Schizosaccharomyces pombe: one gene and its partners. The gene in region 4 interacts genetically with the main gene of each other region. Each region holds a gene or a part of one and is shown on either strand. Other genes may lie near its edges.

Region 1 (4,100 bases), 1.1 Mb from region 4:
TCCATGGGACTTAAGGAACTGGCTAAACCTATAAAAAAACTAAATCAATCTTACTCTTTTGGTCACTGGTGGTCTATGACCTTTTACAGTAACCCCACAGTTCAATCTGAGATACAGAGGATTCTGAGACTTGAACCTTCGGTTCTTCGCTATATGATCGTCAAAAAAGCAGATAAGTATGTTCTTTTTATAAACTATTTTATTATACTAATTCCTTTTGTGTAGATTGAGTGATTTAATGTAGAATGAGCGTATTCATATTTTGAGAAAATAAAAATATTCGCAGAGCTGTCCAATTATCTTTTATTATTCTTGTTTTTTTGGGGTTTTTTCTTCTTTTCTTCTTTTATAAAATAAACATACTTTTCCAGAGCTAAAATGTGAAATTTCAACCGTTGTTAACGACTCCTTGTGTTTCAACTTTTTCCGATCTTCTTTGTATAATACTATGTCCCTAAATTTCATGGGAGATAGATTAAAAAAAAGAACTGTTAAAATATTTAAACGACAGGTACTGATATTATGTCCTTTAGACATATCTTGCTTTTATTTATTGGTTTAATACAATGTTGGTTAAAGGCGATAGTGAAGTTTTGAATGTGGAGTGTTTTATGCCGAATTTATGGCTTGGGTTTAGGTTTTCGTTTGAAATCACCGCTTCACGTAGCTTAGCGGCACATGAATCTAAACGAGTTGGTAATGTTTGTCTAGGATCGCTATACCCGTGCTGCTGTATAGATTGTATTAGAGGTTGAGGCCATTCCTGATGATACTCTAAAATTTGTGGTTCAGTAGCCATTGGAATTGTTAGAGAGGGCGATGGAACAACTGGAGGGTAAGATTGGCTAAATATAGCACTCAGTCGCTTTTTGCGATCTTCTCTCTTTTCTGCATAATTCACGAATAATCTTTTCTTTCCGAATAACACTCCATTTAACGTGTTAATTGCTTGCACAGCTTCAAATGGATGACTGAAGGATACGAAACCATAGCCTTTGGATATTTCTGTACTGGGATACGACGCTAAAGTGCAAGATTTTATCCTTCCAAATTTCGAAAACAGTTCTTCTAATTGTTGTGTGTTTCCTACTATATTATCATCCAAGTTTTTAACAAATAAATTACAAGGATCAATTGTCGGTGTTGAGGTTGGTGTTGGCGTTACTGTCGTTTCATACGATGTTTGGAAAGAAGGGAATGAAATAAATGGATTTGGCAAAGCAGAAGTTTTGGCAATCACTGGAATTTCAAACGGCTGAGGCATTTCCATATTTGGGGGCAATAAATTTGTCATGGTTCCTTCTGGGTGATTTAACAAATTAGAGCAAAATCCCTGAACAGGTTGTTTTATAAAAAGTTGTAAAATGGATCCTTCATACGCAATGGCGTGAAATTTTTCAATGATCTAAATTAAAAGGTCAGTAATGCTATAGCAAAAAATAGCTTGCTTAATACCTCTATGCAACTTTCATAGGTGCTCACAGCCACTTCTGCGTAGTGAGTCATATCTTCATTTATGCTTTGATTGATGGCTACACCGAGAATGTGACCATGATTGCTAAACTCATTGTAAAGCTCGACTGGTGATACTTTCAACGGAAGGTTTAAAATCCCAATCACAAAAATAGAAGGGTTGTCGTACAAAAATTGGGGATTCTGTTCTAGAAGCATACCTGGCATCATTTGACAGGGTTCAAAAGCAGATTTTAGGTGTAAATGTTCCGTGTTATTTTCCTTATATGGCTCAATAAAAGTGTTAGAAATGGACGGTGTATTATTATCTTTGCAATTTGGCCTGATAGACAGATGCTTTGGCTCATTCTCCGTGAAATCTGAAACTAAGAGTGTTTGAACTGCTTTTGAGCTAAGTATACTAGTTCCTGTTGCTTCTGCAAATGCATTCTCTTTGTCGTGCACTTTTGGGGGGTTTGATTGAACTAAATTTGAGGTATTCATCGAATATTCCTTTTTGTCTTTGGTACTAACTCGAACCTCTGATACTGTCGGTCGTGTTTCCTTTGTATACTTTTCTATTTTTGAAAACCGAATTTTTGCTTTTTCATTATTCGAGTGATGAATTTGGTCAACTCCATTTTCCAACTTATTTTTGTATCTCTCCACGATATGCGTATACTCGACCTTCCTATAATTGTTGCTCTATTAGCGTTTATTATTTTAAAATCTACGTACAAAGTATTTCCTTGGAACGAACTCCCGTTTAAGGAGGCAATTGCGTTGTCAGCGCTACATTTGTTTTCAAATGTGATAAATGCAAATAAAGTTGGGGATTTAGAGTCAGTACTCTTATTCTTCTTTCTACTTAGCATGTGGAATTTTGAGAAATTACCTTAAACAGTTAGAGAAAAAATTGTTTATTCATATACGATTACCGAAAGGTTCAAACAGTTCATGAAGATCTGAGCTTTGGCACGTTGAAGGTAAATTCCCTACGTAAATGGAAATTTCACACTTCTTAGTGCTCCTTTTGTTCTTTTCTGAAAGTTTTTCAAGTGCAATCATTGTGATGTGTCTAGTTGGTAATTATAGAATTCGGAATTCTCAATGTAAACAAAAGTAAACAGGAAATTACCGCAATGTTAGCTGTTCATAAGCAATTTAATGTAGTATCCTATATTTCGTAAAGCTTTAAGGTAATCGCATAGTATGTGCTATTTTAAATTGTGAAACTTACTACACAGCCTTTATTACATATTTGTCTCAGCAACCCTCTGTGGTATAGGTGAACCACAAACTAATTTTAATTTCTCAAACCTATGCTTGAAATTCTATGGGCTAACATTACTCCAATTCAAACCTTTGTCTCCAGTAATCATTTAACTATGCTTTATGGGCTCAAACGGTTTGGATGTCGCCTTTATCATCATAGCAAATCTACACGATACATTGACGCTACAGCGAAAGTAGTCTCTCAAGAGCCTGCTGCCATTAGCAGTACTGGAGCTATTCCATTAAATTCTCCAGCGGCCCCTTTATTATCACAAGATGTTCTTATAGTAGAGAGGCAACTTGAAATGATGAATGTTTTTCTTGGTTATGAACAGGCTAACCGCTATGTAATTCTTAACCAACAAGGTCAGCATCTTGGATACATTGCAGAACAGGGTGCCTCATCCATATTATCAAGTTTATCAAGACAATTTTTCCACACACATCGTGCGTTTAAGGCAGATGTAATGGACAGTAACGGCCAGTTGGTGTTACAACTCAATCGACCATTTTCTTGGATAAACTCCCGGTTACAAATTCATTCTATTGATTACAGTAAGTTCTCGTCTACTTTAGTTGGCGAAGTCCTTCAAAAATGGCATTTATGGCGCCGTCGCTATGAATTGTTCCTTGCGAAGCGTTCTATGTTTGAACAGTTTGCCAAAATTGATGAGCGAGTGCTAAGTTGGGAGTTTCTGTTGCGAAACGAGCAGGATCGCATCCTAGGTAGTGTTTCACGGAATTTCATGGGGCTTCCTCGTGAATTTTTTACTGATACTGGTAATTACGTTCTTCGATTTACCTCTACGAGTGCAGCCAATGGTTCTGTAAATGAAAATCAATTGCTTCAAGCTGCTCATGGAATCGCTAATGATGTTTGTGCACGTGATATGAGTTTAGAAGAAAGGGCAGTTATGCTAGGCAGTGCTGTCACTATTGATTTTGATTATTTTAGCCGTATTCATGGTGGCCCAGCACTGGGACTGAATATTCCGTTTATGTTTGGAGGTTCTTCCTCCAACCACGATTATCCAGCTGAAGACCTGTCTGCTCAGGAAATTTTAAAAAACGACCAGGAAACTACGCCTTCCACCAATGATTCTTCATCTGAAACGAAGTCTCCTTTTTTGTCTGATGCAGACTTGGATCAGCAAGATTTTTGGGATATTTTTGACCGTGACGGGGATGATTGATTGTTCAACTGATTATTATTTATTTATTAACGATATATCCAAAAAGATACTTTTTCTCCTTAAAAAGTTAAATCTGATTAGTCATTACTATTACTGTTTTTATTATTATTATTATTATTACTATCCCTTCTAGTCATTATTTTGTTTTTCTCATAATTTACAACTACTGACTATATCACT
Region 2 (4,103 bases), on a different chromosome or scaffold from region 4:
ACACAAAGAGGAGAGTTTTTCCAATCAATAGTATCATTTTGTTTACGAATGGAAGAGGATGGCGAACCGATCTTTCCCCTTTTGCCAACCCGCTTAAACCTTTTAACTTCTCTCTGTTTCTTTACCTCATCTTTTTTCTCGCTTGATTTATCTGAATTGGACAATTGGGTTTTTCGTCGAATCAGAAAATGGATCAGTACAGGCAGCAGCAAGACTATGTACAATACAGCCCGGTATTCTTCCCAATGCTCCCCGATGTACCCCAAAGAATACCCCATGGCAATGATTTACCACTGGAATTTAGCAAAGAAATAGTATCCTTGGTGGTTGGAAAAAGGATTCTTTGAGGTGTGGCATATGGAAAAGACACAGGCAAATTTCACCAATAAGCGCCAACAGAACTAAGTCCAGCTAGAGAGTACTAAAATGAAGGATGAACTTTTAAATTAATTTAAAATTTTTACTTATTTGTTTATTTTATGATTAATTTTACCTTATTAATATATAAGTGCTTTCATCTAAATGATGGAGTGCTGGCCAAAAAGGTACTTTTTGTAAAAGTCAACATTCTTGAAAATCAAACTATAAGAAAAGCAATATCTCTTAAAATACCTCATGTGTAGTAACATTTAGAAAAATTGCTAGATAGCTAGTGTTAGACGTAGTGAAAATGATACTTGGAGATGAGACACTTTCAAACGATTGAAGAAAGAATCAAGGATGAGGGCTTTGTAATGATTGTTATTTGTGAAAAGTATTCAAAAAAGATTTGGAATGTTTGATGAGAGTTCATTTTTAAAGATTTTACGACATGGGAATATATCAGTAAAACGAAGAATAAAAAGTAAATAATGCAGCTAGCATGCTGCGTCTTAAATAAAGAGCAAAAAAAAAGATATAAAGCAAAAGCGATAAATGAAGAAAGTAAGAGAAAGAAACCAATTCAACTATACCTTTGTAACATCGAAATTCTCCAAGCTTAGCACCTTTGTTATATGCTTGTCCGCAGCTTGTTCTGGAGAAAGAGAAAAAAAGGGAAGAATATTGACATCAGGAACCCACACAACTTTCATGCCTGCCGCCCGGCCTGATTGAACTCCTGTAATGGAATCTTCAAAAACCAAGCAGTTCTCTGGCAGGATTTCTGCCTGGCCTTGAGCCTTGCGCTTGTCGTTGATCATCTTCAAAGCGATGAACCAAATATCTGGGTGAGGTTTGCCTCTACCGACGGGTAATCGAGGGTCATCTCCAGTGATAATGTTTCCATCAAAATGATCAAACAAATGACTCAAATGAGCGGACTTCTTTTCAAAGTTGTGTGTGTCACTGGAAGTGGCTAGTGCTATAGGAATGTTTAGTGATTTCAACTTACTTAACAAATTCATAACGCCAGGTAAAGGCTTTGTATGCCTCCATAGTTCAGCTTGAGTTTCACGTTGTAATGCTATGTATTCTTCGCAGGTCAAATCAATACCCGACCAATCCAAAAAGATTCTGCTGGCCTCCTTTGAAGTTCGGCCTAAAGCATGAATGATTAGAAGGTTGAAAAAAACAACAACAGCTCAAAGCCACTTACCCATCATCTTAGCCTTGACTTCCATGGAGAAGGGGCCTTTGTTATAGCGCTTTAAAATGATATCTAGACGCACCGTTAGCCTAACCAATACCTTTGAACAGAAAGGGAAAAGGAAGAGTAAAACTTACTAGTGCTTTTTGTGTAGATTGACTCTGTATCGACCAACAAGCCCTGTATTCGTTAGATAGAAGGACACTTTATCGCTTTTCAAGTAGTATGCTTTAAGGAATCATCAGGCTAAGCACTTTTAAGTAGAATGAAAAACAAATAAACGATAATAAATATTGTATTTGTTGATCATGGACGCCGTAAATGATCCATATTATTTTACTATGTACGTACGTCCATATCGAAAAGACACGCCTCAGGAATCATCTTTAAAGTAAAGTAAGGGTTTTAATAAAAAGAATGTCTTTGTTTTTCTACGATGAAGAAAGATATTGTTGAAAGGATATATACTATTCGTAACAGAATGAAACCAATTTCGATCAGTATACGGACGAAAGCAGCAATGGGAATGAGATGAATATACGATAACTTATCAAATAATTCAAGTTTAGACAATCACAGTCGTCCTTAATAAATTCTGCTAGAAGTAGTCAAACGTGGAGTTGACAAGTTGCAAGACGAGCCATTGTTTAGGCAAAGGTGAGAAATAGAATATTTGTGGCATTAGGAAAGCTTTTGGACTTGCAAATAGAATTGCTTGAAAATAATGAGTGTAAAGAGAGGTAAAGTTGGCGAATTTGTTGAGTCAGGGATTGAACTTGATTCATCTAAATGATAATGTTATGGTAAGATAAAAAGAAACTAGAAAAAAATAGAAGAAAGTTTATAAAGTGCAATGACATTGAATTTACTCGACTCTCTTCCTATTACACGACAAGCTCAGTTTATGGATGTTTATTTGTCTACAAACAATTCATTCACGTGTGACTTTGAACTTGACCGGAAACATGTTACAGAAGGTGGTTTGAAAGTAAAATTGATACGGGAATGGGTGTCTTATTGAAAAACTACAAAGCTGTACTCGATGACTATGGAATGTCATCAGGTGGATATACAGATAGCTCTTTTTAAATGTCGAGTGAGATATCGGTGGTTTATTTTGAAGAAAATTACTTAAAAAGTGATTAAAGTAATAATAAGTAATGAAAGTCAAATAAAAGGCCTTACGATTATCTGCTCGTCAACTATGGGTATACAGGTGTATCTCACACTATGCTTGAAGATTTCGCTGACGATTATATAGACAATGTCCATAAACAGGTTAAAACCAAGCCTTTTTAATTACGAACTTGACCATTTCTGAAGACTGTAGATACCTTAGAAGCTAATCTCATTTGTATTACTGTAAGAGGCAATTCGAATCGACAAGAGTGTAGGTAGAAGAGTATACCTATCCAAAGAGTATCAGATGCTTTTACCAATTTAAGAGTTTTCCATGGATATGTATTCAATTTTAGGTCCAACTATTTAACACTTGTGCGAACATCGATCATGTCCGATGCAGCAACTTGCTGCTGTCATGTCGCTCAAACCAAACAAAAGAAATGTGCCAATTAACAAAATATTTCCAATACTATACTTGTAACGTTCTAGCATTAATACATACCTTAAGGCACTACTTGCAATCAGCCCAGTCATGTCAATCTCTTCAATATCTTGTTCGGGATCCCGCTTGCGACCAGCGCATTATTTTTCTTAGATTACTGACATTATATATTTCAATTTGGAACAAAAAAACAATCTGATTTCGACCATTTTTTAAAATTTTTCTTTTTCATAAATTTTTTCGACTTTTCCTATACTTTCGATGGTGAAGAATGCATTGAGCACAGTCTGCAGCTTCCATTTTTTTCTTCTGAAATTTTATAGTAAAATCGAAAGTTTTTCATCTGCTTAAGCAATCAATTAAATCTAGACAAACATTGCTAAGTTCTCCGCAAATTCAAAGAAACTTTGGCTGACGTACCTAAAATGCTTAAGTGGAAGTTTCCACGCTACACACAACTTAACCAGAACCTATATCCTTAGGAACACCAAGAAACTCAGAAAAGGTATGTTTGTAGTGTTTTTTAGGAAAAACGAAGTTATTTGTCTGGAAAAAGTATTTACTAACGAGTTTTTGAGGTAGTTTTATCAAAATGTCTTCATTGGAACAATTAAAGGCCACTGGCACTGTTGTCGTCTCCGATACTGGAGATTTTGAATCGATCGCCAAATACAAACCCCAAGATGCCACCACAAACCCTTCTCTCATCTTGGCCGCTTCTAAGAAGCCCCAATATGCTGCTCTCGTCGACGCTGCTGTTGACTATGCCAAGGCAAAGGGTGGTTCCATCAACTCTCAAATTGAGATTGCTTTTGATCGTCTTTTGATCGAATTCGGTACCAAGATCCTCGCTATCGTCCCTGGCCGTGTCTCCACCGAAGTTGATGCTCGTTACTCTTTTGACACCCAAACTACTATCGAGAAGGCTCGTCACCTCATCAAGTTGTACGAAGCCGAGGGCATTGGTCGTGA
Region 3 (4,318 bases), on a different chromosome or scaffold from region 4:
CCGTACTTGCGAGGGTGAGAGAACCAAACGTTTTCGTGGGCCATTTTGGTGTGAAGGTAGAGATTGTTTCAAGCGTTTCTTCTACTAGACGAAAGTCGTGACTGCTCTTCTAGGCATAGGGTAGGGCTAATATAGAGAAATACAATGCATTTCGTTATTTGACATTGTGCTCAACAATGTAAATAAAGTATGTATAGTACTATTTTTTAAGTAGAAATTGTTTTCATTAGACACTTAGTTAAAATATTTGTTCAATTGATGGAATAATCAGGATTTATTTTTTTCCTCTCCAGTACCAAGCCTTATATAACATTATATTGTAGCTGGTTTAATAGGCACTTAATGAAAGATGGATTTTCCTTCAGAAAGTAGTTATTGTGGTGTTTTCTACGTTTGATTTTTTTTTTTTTTTTTAGTTTCAAAACCTCTTGTATTTATTAAATTAGTGAGTACTTTTGAACGTTTTTACTCATTCACTTGGAAATCGGTGTACTCGAAAAACATAGCTCATTTCAAAAAATATACAAAAGTTTAACCTGTAAATAATAATAAATTATATTTCTTCAATTAACCAAACAAAAATTATATCCCTCTCATCAAAGGAACTCTAAATCTTTATCAAAATATCTATCATAAATCAACAAAGGAAACCATTAGATCATAAAAAAGTAAAAATATATGTATGTTGACATGTTCAATTGAACACATCTTTCTCCTTTTTTCTTCCTTTGCTTCTTTTTTTTAATATTACTGATGTAAATTCACACAGTACACAGCATCATCAAGTTCGACTGAATCGTTGTTCCCAATGCAATAAATCCCTGGTGAGATTGTCTACCATCCTAAGAGTTTCCTTCTCTTCTTCTGGGCCTTCTTTCGATGACTTTGTGGATGATTGATTACCAGCAGACTGAGCTGCCATTTCAACTTGAATATGTCCAATATACTCTAGCATAGAGGCAACTCTTCGCCGCATCTCAGTCATAGTGATTCTTGAGTGCAATCCCTTAGGCTTGGTTATGGTCTCTACGAACGTTCCATCCGGATGTAATTGAGGAATTCGGTGATTATCGTTCGAACTAGATTTTCCTCTTCTTCCTCCCACCTTTCTTGTTTTTGAAGGCTTCGGTGCGACAGCTGCTGGAAGATCCGCTTTGTCTTCTGCCGCTGCTTCACGTTTAGCTTTTCGCGTTGACCGAGTAGTGGTCGAAATAGAAGTAATGGTAGATTGTTGTGAGCTTTGAGGGGATGCTTCTCCAGACTCCTCTTTTACTGAGTGCTTTTCTTCATCAGCAATCTCCTCAACCGTATCTACAGTTTCTTCTTCAGGGGCATCCGTTTCAGCGACATTAGTAGTAGAGGTTTCTTTATTCTCTTCGTTTTCGTCCTTCGACTCCTTACTATCTTCTAAAATTTCATCATTCTCTTCTTCAATTTTTTGTTTTAAATTTATTTCGGTTCCTTGCGATTCATCTTGGGGAGCTGGTGGAGAAAGAGACTTCGATGAAGTTCGCCTAAAAACAGTTAGTATATCATCTATGAATATCAATGACCATACCCTCTAGATCTCCTCGGTATTAGTGACTTTTCCTTAGCAATTGCAAGATACTCTTCATAATCAAGAGCGGCGTCTCTGGAATTCATAGTAAGACGTTGCTTAGACGACTTTTTGGTTGCCGGAGATGGGGGAGTAGATGAAGATTCTTCTGTTTGACTGGCTTCTATAGGTTTTCCATTTCCAAGATACTTTGATTGTTTAGCCCTGCGGCGAAGTTAGTAACAATAGTTGAAAAACCCAATTTTTTTAATTGCTAGAAGAGAAAAAAGAATAAAATGGAGATATTTGGAAACCACTGCAATTAGTTTAAAGCATTAGGTATTCAGTGGTAAATCCATTTTAAATCCTTAAGCTCATCTGTTATCAACACTTACCCTCTGCCCCTTTGATATACTTTATGGAATTCTGGATGGCATATTTCGCAATAATATACCTCGGGAACTTCTGATTCATCAGCAAATCCCACACAGTTCCCATGTTGCCAAACTGAGCATTGATCGCACTGAATATACAGCCCCCCGTCACTAGCTTCATCGTCGGATTCGACAATTCCACAAACACAGCGGGTTACTTCTCCAGTACTCGATGTTTCATTCTCTTCATTATCGGAAACTGAGCCATTAGGCGTGTGGGGTGTGTCTACGGGAGATTTCTGAATTTTTTCAGACTCTTCCTCTTTTTCTTCATTAGCGGGAGTTGAATTACTCGGCATAATGTATAATAATCGTTTTATTAAAAAATTGTGCTGTGCGCTTGGGGAATGGTGAAGGATTGGAAGATAGGTAATACATTTACCAACTACAACATCAATGAAATATATCGCGAATTGCTGAAACTTCACGCTTTAAGTAATTAATGTATGGGAAATTTGTTTTTTTATATTCATTTAGTGATTGAATGTTTTTGGTCAAAGTCGTAATGGCACTTTGGTAATAGTTAAATAGTTGAATGGCAAAAACGTTGGATTCTAGGATTCAAGCCCAGAGGGAGACTGCCAATGCATTGAAATGATAGTTAATTAAAAAAAATTGATAAAAACCCAATTATCTTTGTAAACATAAACAGTTTAACACCTTTCATTTTTTTATAGGCCCATTTTGCCCGTTGATTTGCCCTTGACCATCGGAGAACCTGGTTTGTCTGGGAATGGTTATTTAAGTCTCCTAAAGCTTTAGCACTGTTGAATTAGATTAAGAAACTTATATGTTCATCTCAAACTTCATATAATTAAACGTATGGTTTGTTTGACCCACTTTTTATGCTATCTCTCTGTACTAATTATTATTGAAATGAGAATTGACTTGATTTGGGAATGCATATTATTATAAGCTGTATTATGAAGGTTGTGAAATCATTTCTGTAAGGTGCTGCTGCTTTTATAAATTAAAAGAGGTTTTGTAATATCGACATGATATTTGGTATTATCTCCATGTATTCGCATTTTACGATGTTCCTGCAATCTTTAGAATGGCGTATGTGCATATTTTGAAACTAAAAAACATCTTACATTTTAAAAAAGGCTTTTTCCTCGCAATGTCAGAAAAGCAACTGCTACTCGGTTCACCGGGAATTCATGAACAAAACAATGAAATTTGATTGTATTTTTCTTCGATACTATATTCAACTGACTAGATACTTATGAAATAAAATAAAAAACTATTTATATCCTTGTGATCAACGTTTGACAGTGAGAAATTGTTATAATTCTAAATTTTCTCTTTTTATTGAAATTTATTCGATGAAAAAATCAATTGTATGCTCTTCCACCACTTCGAATGCTCTATTGATATAAATATATGTCTATGAAAAATTCGTTTTATTTCTACAGAATTTACAAAATTCTCTAATTTACTGCTAATACTGTGTTCAAGTTGGTAAAATATTCGTGTGCCACAAATATCTATTTTGGTATAAATTTCTCATGTCACTCATTAATTGAGATGATAGTGATAAATATTAACAATTTTTTTAGTAATAGTAAGAAAAGAAATAATATTTCATTGCTTTTATATCTGCTGGCAAACCAGAGTAGAGCGATATCGCATCTGTATATCGTAATTTCATCTCTTTTAACAACCAAGAACGAGCATTCCACTCGTACAGCTGGGAAGGTGCTTTAATACATCGTGTACTATAATTTTTCCTATTATTTATCGGGCTTCTGAATAGATTCTACAATTTAATTTATCGAGCTGGTCTCTTTTTGTCTGCTGATTTCTATTCTACGATTTCTCAGGCGTTTTTTATTCCACGTTCTATTATTTGTTTAGAACCATTTTTTTTATATTGCATAGTTCTTATTTTCTTTTAAAATAACTTTCTTGAACGATTCTTCCAAAAAATCGATCAGTTTGCATACTCATACGCTTAGTACTTAATTGTAATTCGTAAAGTTGGTTCCTAAAAACACCAATTTTATAGCTTCCTAGATTTTTTCTCTATTCCTAGTTTGGGTTAATTTATGTCTGGGTATAGTCCTTTGTCTTCTGGACCAGCAGACGTCCATATTGGAAAAGCTGGGTTCTTTTCTTCGGTTATCAACCTTGCCAATACTATTTTGGGAGCTGGAATTCTTTCCTTACCAAATGCGTTTACCAAGACTGGTCTGTTGTTTGGGTGTTTGACCATCGTCTTTAGTGCATTCGCTTCTTTTTTAGGATTATATTTTGTTTCCCAATGCGCCGCACGACTCCCGAGGGGAAAGGCTTCATTTGCTGCTGTTGCCAAGCACACCTTTCCCTCTTTGGCTGTTGTCTTTGA
Region 4 (4,158 bases):
ACCAAGAGTATTACCTTGAATGGTCCAAAAATTTCCGTGTTTTTTTCTACCATTATTGGCATGCCTTGGTTGACCAGTCGTCCGATCACCATCTTGCGAATGTGACTCCCATGATATGTCAGAAATGCTATGTGTTTCATCAATAAGTTGGTCACTGGGATTGGAATACAGTATTTTTTGATAACCCCGGAGTTTCACCAAGTAAGGGAGCACTTCTTTTGGAAATTTAGGCAATTTCATGCGTCTTCCGGAAAATCGATGTTGAAATTCAAAAAAAAGAAAGTGTGAATGAAGATTTATGAAATCGCGCAACTGTCTGTAAATCAACCAACGGATAGCATGTGGCCCAGTACCATATTCAACTTGAATTGTGAAAGTACTGTGTATGCGATTATGTTTAGGCTCCACATCAAGCACTGAGACCTTTATTAGGTCGGTAATAATAGGCAATACCGGCTGCCCAGATTTATCTCGAATAAAATGCTTGGCTATAGGTAAAGATGCAGGTATGCCTGCTTCGAAAAGATTAATAGCAGGCAAGTTCTCCTTTAATATAGGCTTTTCATCTTCCCTTTTAAATTTGCGAACAGAAGCCATTAATTGTGCCCACATTTGTCTGGCAGAATTACGGTTTGCCTTACTTGTATGGGCAGCAGCTGCATCACGTTCGTCTCTCTCTAAAGGAGGAACTTCAACGTTCTCATCCTCCATTGTCTGTGTGATAAATTCTGGAGTTTGCACTCTTGTACTATCATTCGCAGCAAGATCGTTAACGTTTTCAGAGGCTGTATGCCAAGAAGACCCCCGGGTGTGTTCCAAATCGGGCCGTTTTGGAGGATTTAAATTAACAAATTCAGAGTAGTTTTTTGGATCATTCTCAGGAAACGATGGAATAGAATGGTCGACGTTTTTTTCAAGATCTGTAATTTTGGATGGTGTGTGATCTTCTGCATCTTTCCGTCCTGTCCCCTTTTCAGAGTAGATGCTATCATTTACATTTGTGTTTAACGAATAAGGTACATTATCAATCACTGAATTTCCACCTTGATGAATTGTCATTTTGTTATTAAATTAGCAATTGGCTAAAGTTTTTTTGAGACTCAGGGAAATCCAAGTCCCTATGGAGAAAAGCCAATGCTTTATAAATGAGTAAAAGCCAAGAGGGCTTTATTGAACAAATCCCAAAAACAGTTTAAGTGGTTTGGTAAAGCTTAGCTGCGCATTTCAAAATGAATAATACACCATCATGAAAGCTTGGTTAAAGTTTCGTTTAACTGCGCTAGCATAAATAAGGAAACTTTATGAACAATACAAATGTTTATTTACATCGCTATTGTGTAGTTTAATGGTATTTGTCCAATGGATATCGATGCTTCCTACAACCAAATTATTTTTTCTTGAAGAGTTCGTCTCCCTTTTATTGTAATCGTCGAGCAAGAGTTTGTTCAGCTCAACTTACATTAGCTTATCAAAATTAACAATACATATCTCTACTAGTTGTCAGCTATTCCTCACTAAATTATTATTGCACTATGTTAAATACCACTATATTGATTTACGTTTCCACTTTCAAAGTCGTTAATACAGCAAAAAGCTACACAAATGCCCTACATGAGACTTAGATATTTGCGTATTATGCTATTATAAACAATGTGCCTACGTTCCTCAATTCCCTGATTATTATACTATGCAGCATAGTTATTGCTAGCCAAATTAATTATAACTGTATTCGTGGCGACTCTACTCATAAAATAATAGCAAACTCTTTCTAGGTGTATAGATTCGTAAAAAAAATTTACGAGTTAAGAATGCGTACACAAAATTTTACTTTGCTGTGCACTGTCGGATTATAATGCATATCCGACAGAATTTGCAAGGACCTCCTTAAATATCATAAAAGTACTTATCGAAGAAGCACACCAAGGTCAGAAAGGCGGTTTTAACAGGTTAACACTAATTAGTTTTACTGCTAATTCTTTGAGTATGCAGAAATAAAAGAAACTCAAAATACAAGGTGATGCTTCTAACTAAAAAAGTTTTATGGTACTTTAGACATGGAATTGAATATCAAATTCGTAGCATTGCTTGCAAAAAAGGATACTCTGAGCATAACGTTTCAAGAGTACTTATTGAAAAAGCCCGATCGCTTTCTTCAGAGTATCTTCAATTCCATCAAGTAAATAATAAAGTAAGTGTCGGCAAACAAAGTGTGAAATCAGCCTGCTACTGTTCGAGATACAATAATAATGGTAATACAAGCATACCGGACATTAAGCTTTACTCATGAAAAATTAAAATCTGATATAAATGATCTAACTTATATCTTTTAGGATCAATCGGCAATGACAAACGATACAGATTTAGCAAAGCGAATCGCTAGGCTTCGACGCGTTCATAATGCATATTCGAAATTTAAAAGTTTGTCTGAGGTATGATATAAGACGAATTTGTCTCAAACTTGTAGTCAAAAGCTTTCCTTTTTTTTATTACTCTTCCTATTTATAGTAATCGATTTACAATGGTTTTTTTTTGCTAATGGGTCTATAACTTAAGACTTTTGCCAGGCATTTACTGTTTATCTAAGTAAAGCTATTTGATGAGCATGTTGAAATACTTAAATAACTAGTTTTTGAAAACCTTGATTTAAAAAAATTCTAACAATTTAGCAAATAAGCGATTTGAAACAAATGGAGGCCCAAGAGTCAGATGCAGAGGTTAAAATGATGGCAGTGACTGAAATAAACGAAATAAGTAATAAAATACCAAAAAGCATAGAAGATCTTGAAAACACATTACTTCCACAAGCTGATTCATATGCTCTTCCTGCATTAATCGAAATTCGTCCTGGTGTAGGAGGAACAGAGGCCGCAATATTTGCAAATGAACTAGTGGAAATGTATTTTCAGTATGCAAATTTTAAAGGATGGAATTGCAAATTTATATCAAAAAGTGCAGTCCAAGGACTTGAAGCGATAACGGAGGCCATCTTCTCTATTGAAGGTGAGGGAGCTTATGGTCATCTTATGTTGGAAGGAGGTGTTCATAGGGTTCAGAGGACTCCTGCTACCGAAACTAAAGGAAGAGTTCATACGAGTACTGCATCAGTAATCGTTTTACCTCAGGTGTCAAATGATGAATCCTCTTCTCTTTACGATTCATCTGAAGTTAAAATCGAAGTAATGAGATCTCGTGGAGCCGGTGGACAACACGTTAATAGAACAGAATCCGCCGTACGTTTAACACACATACCCACTGGTATCACTGTTAGCATGCAAGATTCTCGTTCTCAGCATCAAAACAAAGAAAAGGCATTTCTTGTACTGAATTCAAGATTGGCTGCCTTAAATGCCGCAAAAGAAAATGAGGCTGAAAGACTGAAACGTAAAAATCAAGTAACGTCTTCAGATCGTTCGGAAAAGCTACGAACTTATAACTTCAACCAAAATCGAGTAACTGATCATCGGATAGGTTTAAGCATGCACGATTTATCAACATTTATGCAAGGTGAAGAAAAATTTGACGAGTTTTTGGAAAAAATAAGAATATGGAATCGTGAACAGTTGCTATTACACTCTGAAATAGTATAGGAATGCTAATTTAGTCTAGTAAAATAGGAAGGTACAATAATATATGGTGGTCAAACTTCTATAGAGAAAAATGTTTATTAGGTATATGCAATGAATAATGAGAAAAGAATGTGCAACATGTCATGCAAATAAGATATCCATAACTGATCTTTAAAAAAGATCATAGGTTAACTCATAATAACATATTTTTAACTACCACTTAAACTGGAATCTCTTGAGGCGACTGCTTCGTTCACTATCTTTGCATCCTGATCAATAAAGATTGCGGCACTTTCATTGGAAGCAGAAGAATGGCTGAAATTACGTCTTGTCTTTCTAGTATTCAAGGCATACGACGATCTGATCAATGAGGTGGGCACATTTTCAAGAGTAAATTCAGATTCAGCGGGAATTTCTGAAGGTTGCAGCTCCTCAAACGAAGATCTTGGAGATTCGACAGCAGTATGAGATCGGACAGAAGAAATGGAGTCTGGTCTAGTTGGTGATACATCTGTACTCCGAGGAGTAGCAGAAGATTGATATAATACACGGTCAGAAACACGTTTGGATGAATTCAATTTTCTGAGTTCTT

The links.
Region 1: mutations in mrf1 (region 4) and mug28 together harm fitness more than expected from each alone (negative genetic interaction), as found in Schizosaccharomyces pombe (one large-scale study listed by BioGRID).
Region 2: mutations in mrf1 (region 4) and SPOM_SPCC1020.07 together harm fitness less than expected from each alone (positive genetic interaction), as found in Schizosaccharomyces pombe (one large-scale study listed by BioGRID).
Region 3: mutations in mrf1 (region 4) and cti6 together harm fitness more than expected from each alone (negative genetic interaction), as found in Schizosaccharomyces pombe (one large-scale study listed by BioGRID).

What each region holds. Positions count from the first base shown.
Region 1 is NC_003424.3:1,649,432-1,653,531, reverse strand, and holds mug28 (RNA-binding protein Mug28, implicated in mRNA processing), read right to left. Parts: upstream 2,521-4,100; coding exon 2,391-2,520; exon of another isoform or gene 2,348-2,390; coding exon 2,191-2,347; exon of another isoform or gene 2,144-2,190; coding exon 1,456-2,143; exon of another isoform or gene 1,406-1,455; coding exon 551-1,405; downstream 1-550. Other genes in the region: mrp17 (mitochondrial 37S ribosomal protein bS6m), read left to right, coding at 1-176, 226-244; pls1 (phospholipid scramblase), read left to right, coding at 2,775-3,920. UniProt on the Schizosaccharomyces pombe protein: Has a role in sporulation.
Region 2 is NC_003421.2:769,775-773,877, forward strand, and holds SPOM_SPCC1020.07 (pseudouridine-5'-phosphatase), read right to left. Parts: upstream 2,190-4,103; 5' UTR 1,952-2,189; coding exon 1,919-1,951; exon of another isoform or gene 1,748-1,918; coding exon 1,705-1,747; exon of another isoform or gene 1,640-1,704; coding exon 1,577-1,639; intron 1,520-1,576; coding exon 948-1,519; 3' UTR 501-947; downstream 1-500. Other genes in the region: wybutosine biosynthesis protein Tyw1, read right to left, coding at 1-278; tal1 (transaldolase), read left to right, coding at 3,724-4,103.
Region 3 is NC_003423.3:512,168-516,485, reverse strand, and holds cti6 (Rpd3L histone deacetylase complex PHD finger subunit Cti6), read right to left. Parts: upstream 2,332-4,318; 5' UTR 2,271-2,331; coding exon 1,933-2,270; intron 1,763-1,932; coding exon 1,559-1,762; intron 1,515-1,558; coding exon 782-1,514; 3' UTR 533-781; downstream 1-532. Other genes in the region: rps29 (40S ribosomal protein uS14), read right to left, coding at 1-44; vacuolar amino acid transmembrane transporter Avt5, read left to right, coding at 4,020-4,318. UniProt on the Schizosaccharomyces pombe protein: Could be a component of the RPD3C(L) histone deacetylase complex (HDAC).
Region 4 is NC_003424.3:568,219-572,376, forward strand, and holds mrf1 (peptide chain release factor), read left to right. Parts: upstream 1-1,949; 5' UTR 1,950-2,017; coding exon 2,018-2,188; exon of another isoform or gene 2,189-2,330; coding exon 2,331-2,429; exon of another isoform or gene 2,430-2,515; intron 2,516-2,534; exon of another isoform or gene 2,535-2,666; coding exon 2,667-3,587; 3' UTR 3,588-3,658; downstream 3,659-4,158. Other genes in the region: phospholipase D Pld1, read right to left, coding at 1-1,059; putatiRho-type GTPase-activating protein Rga8, read right to left, coding at 3,776-4,158.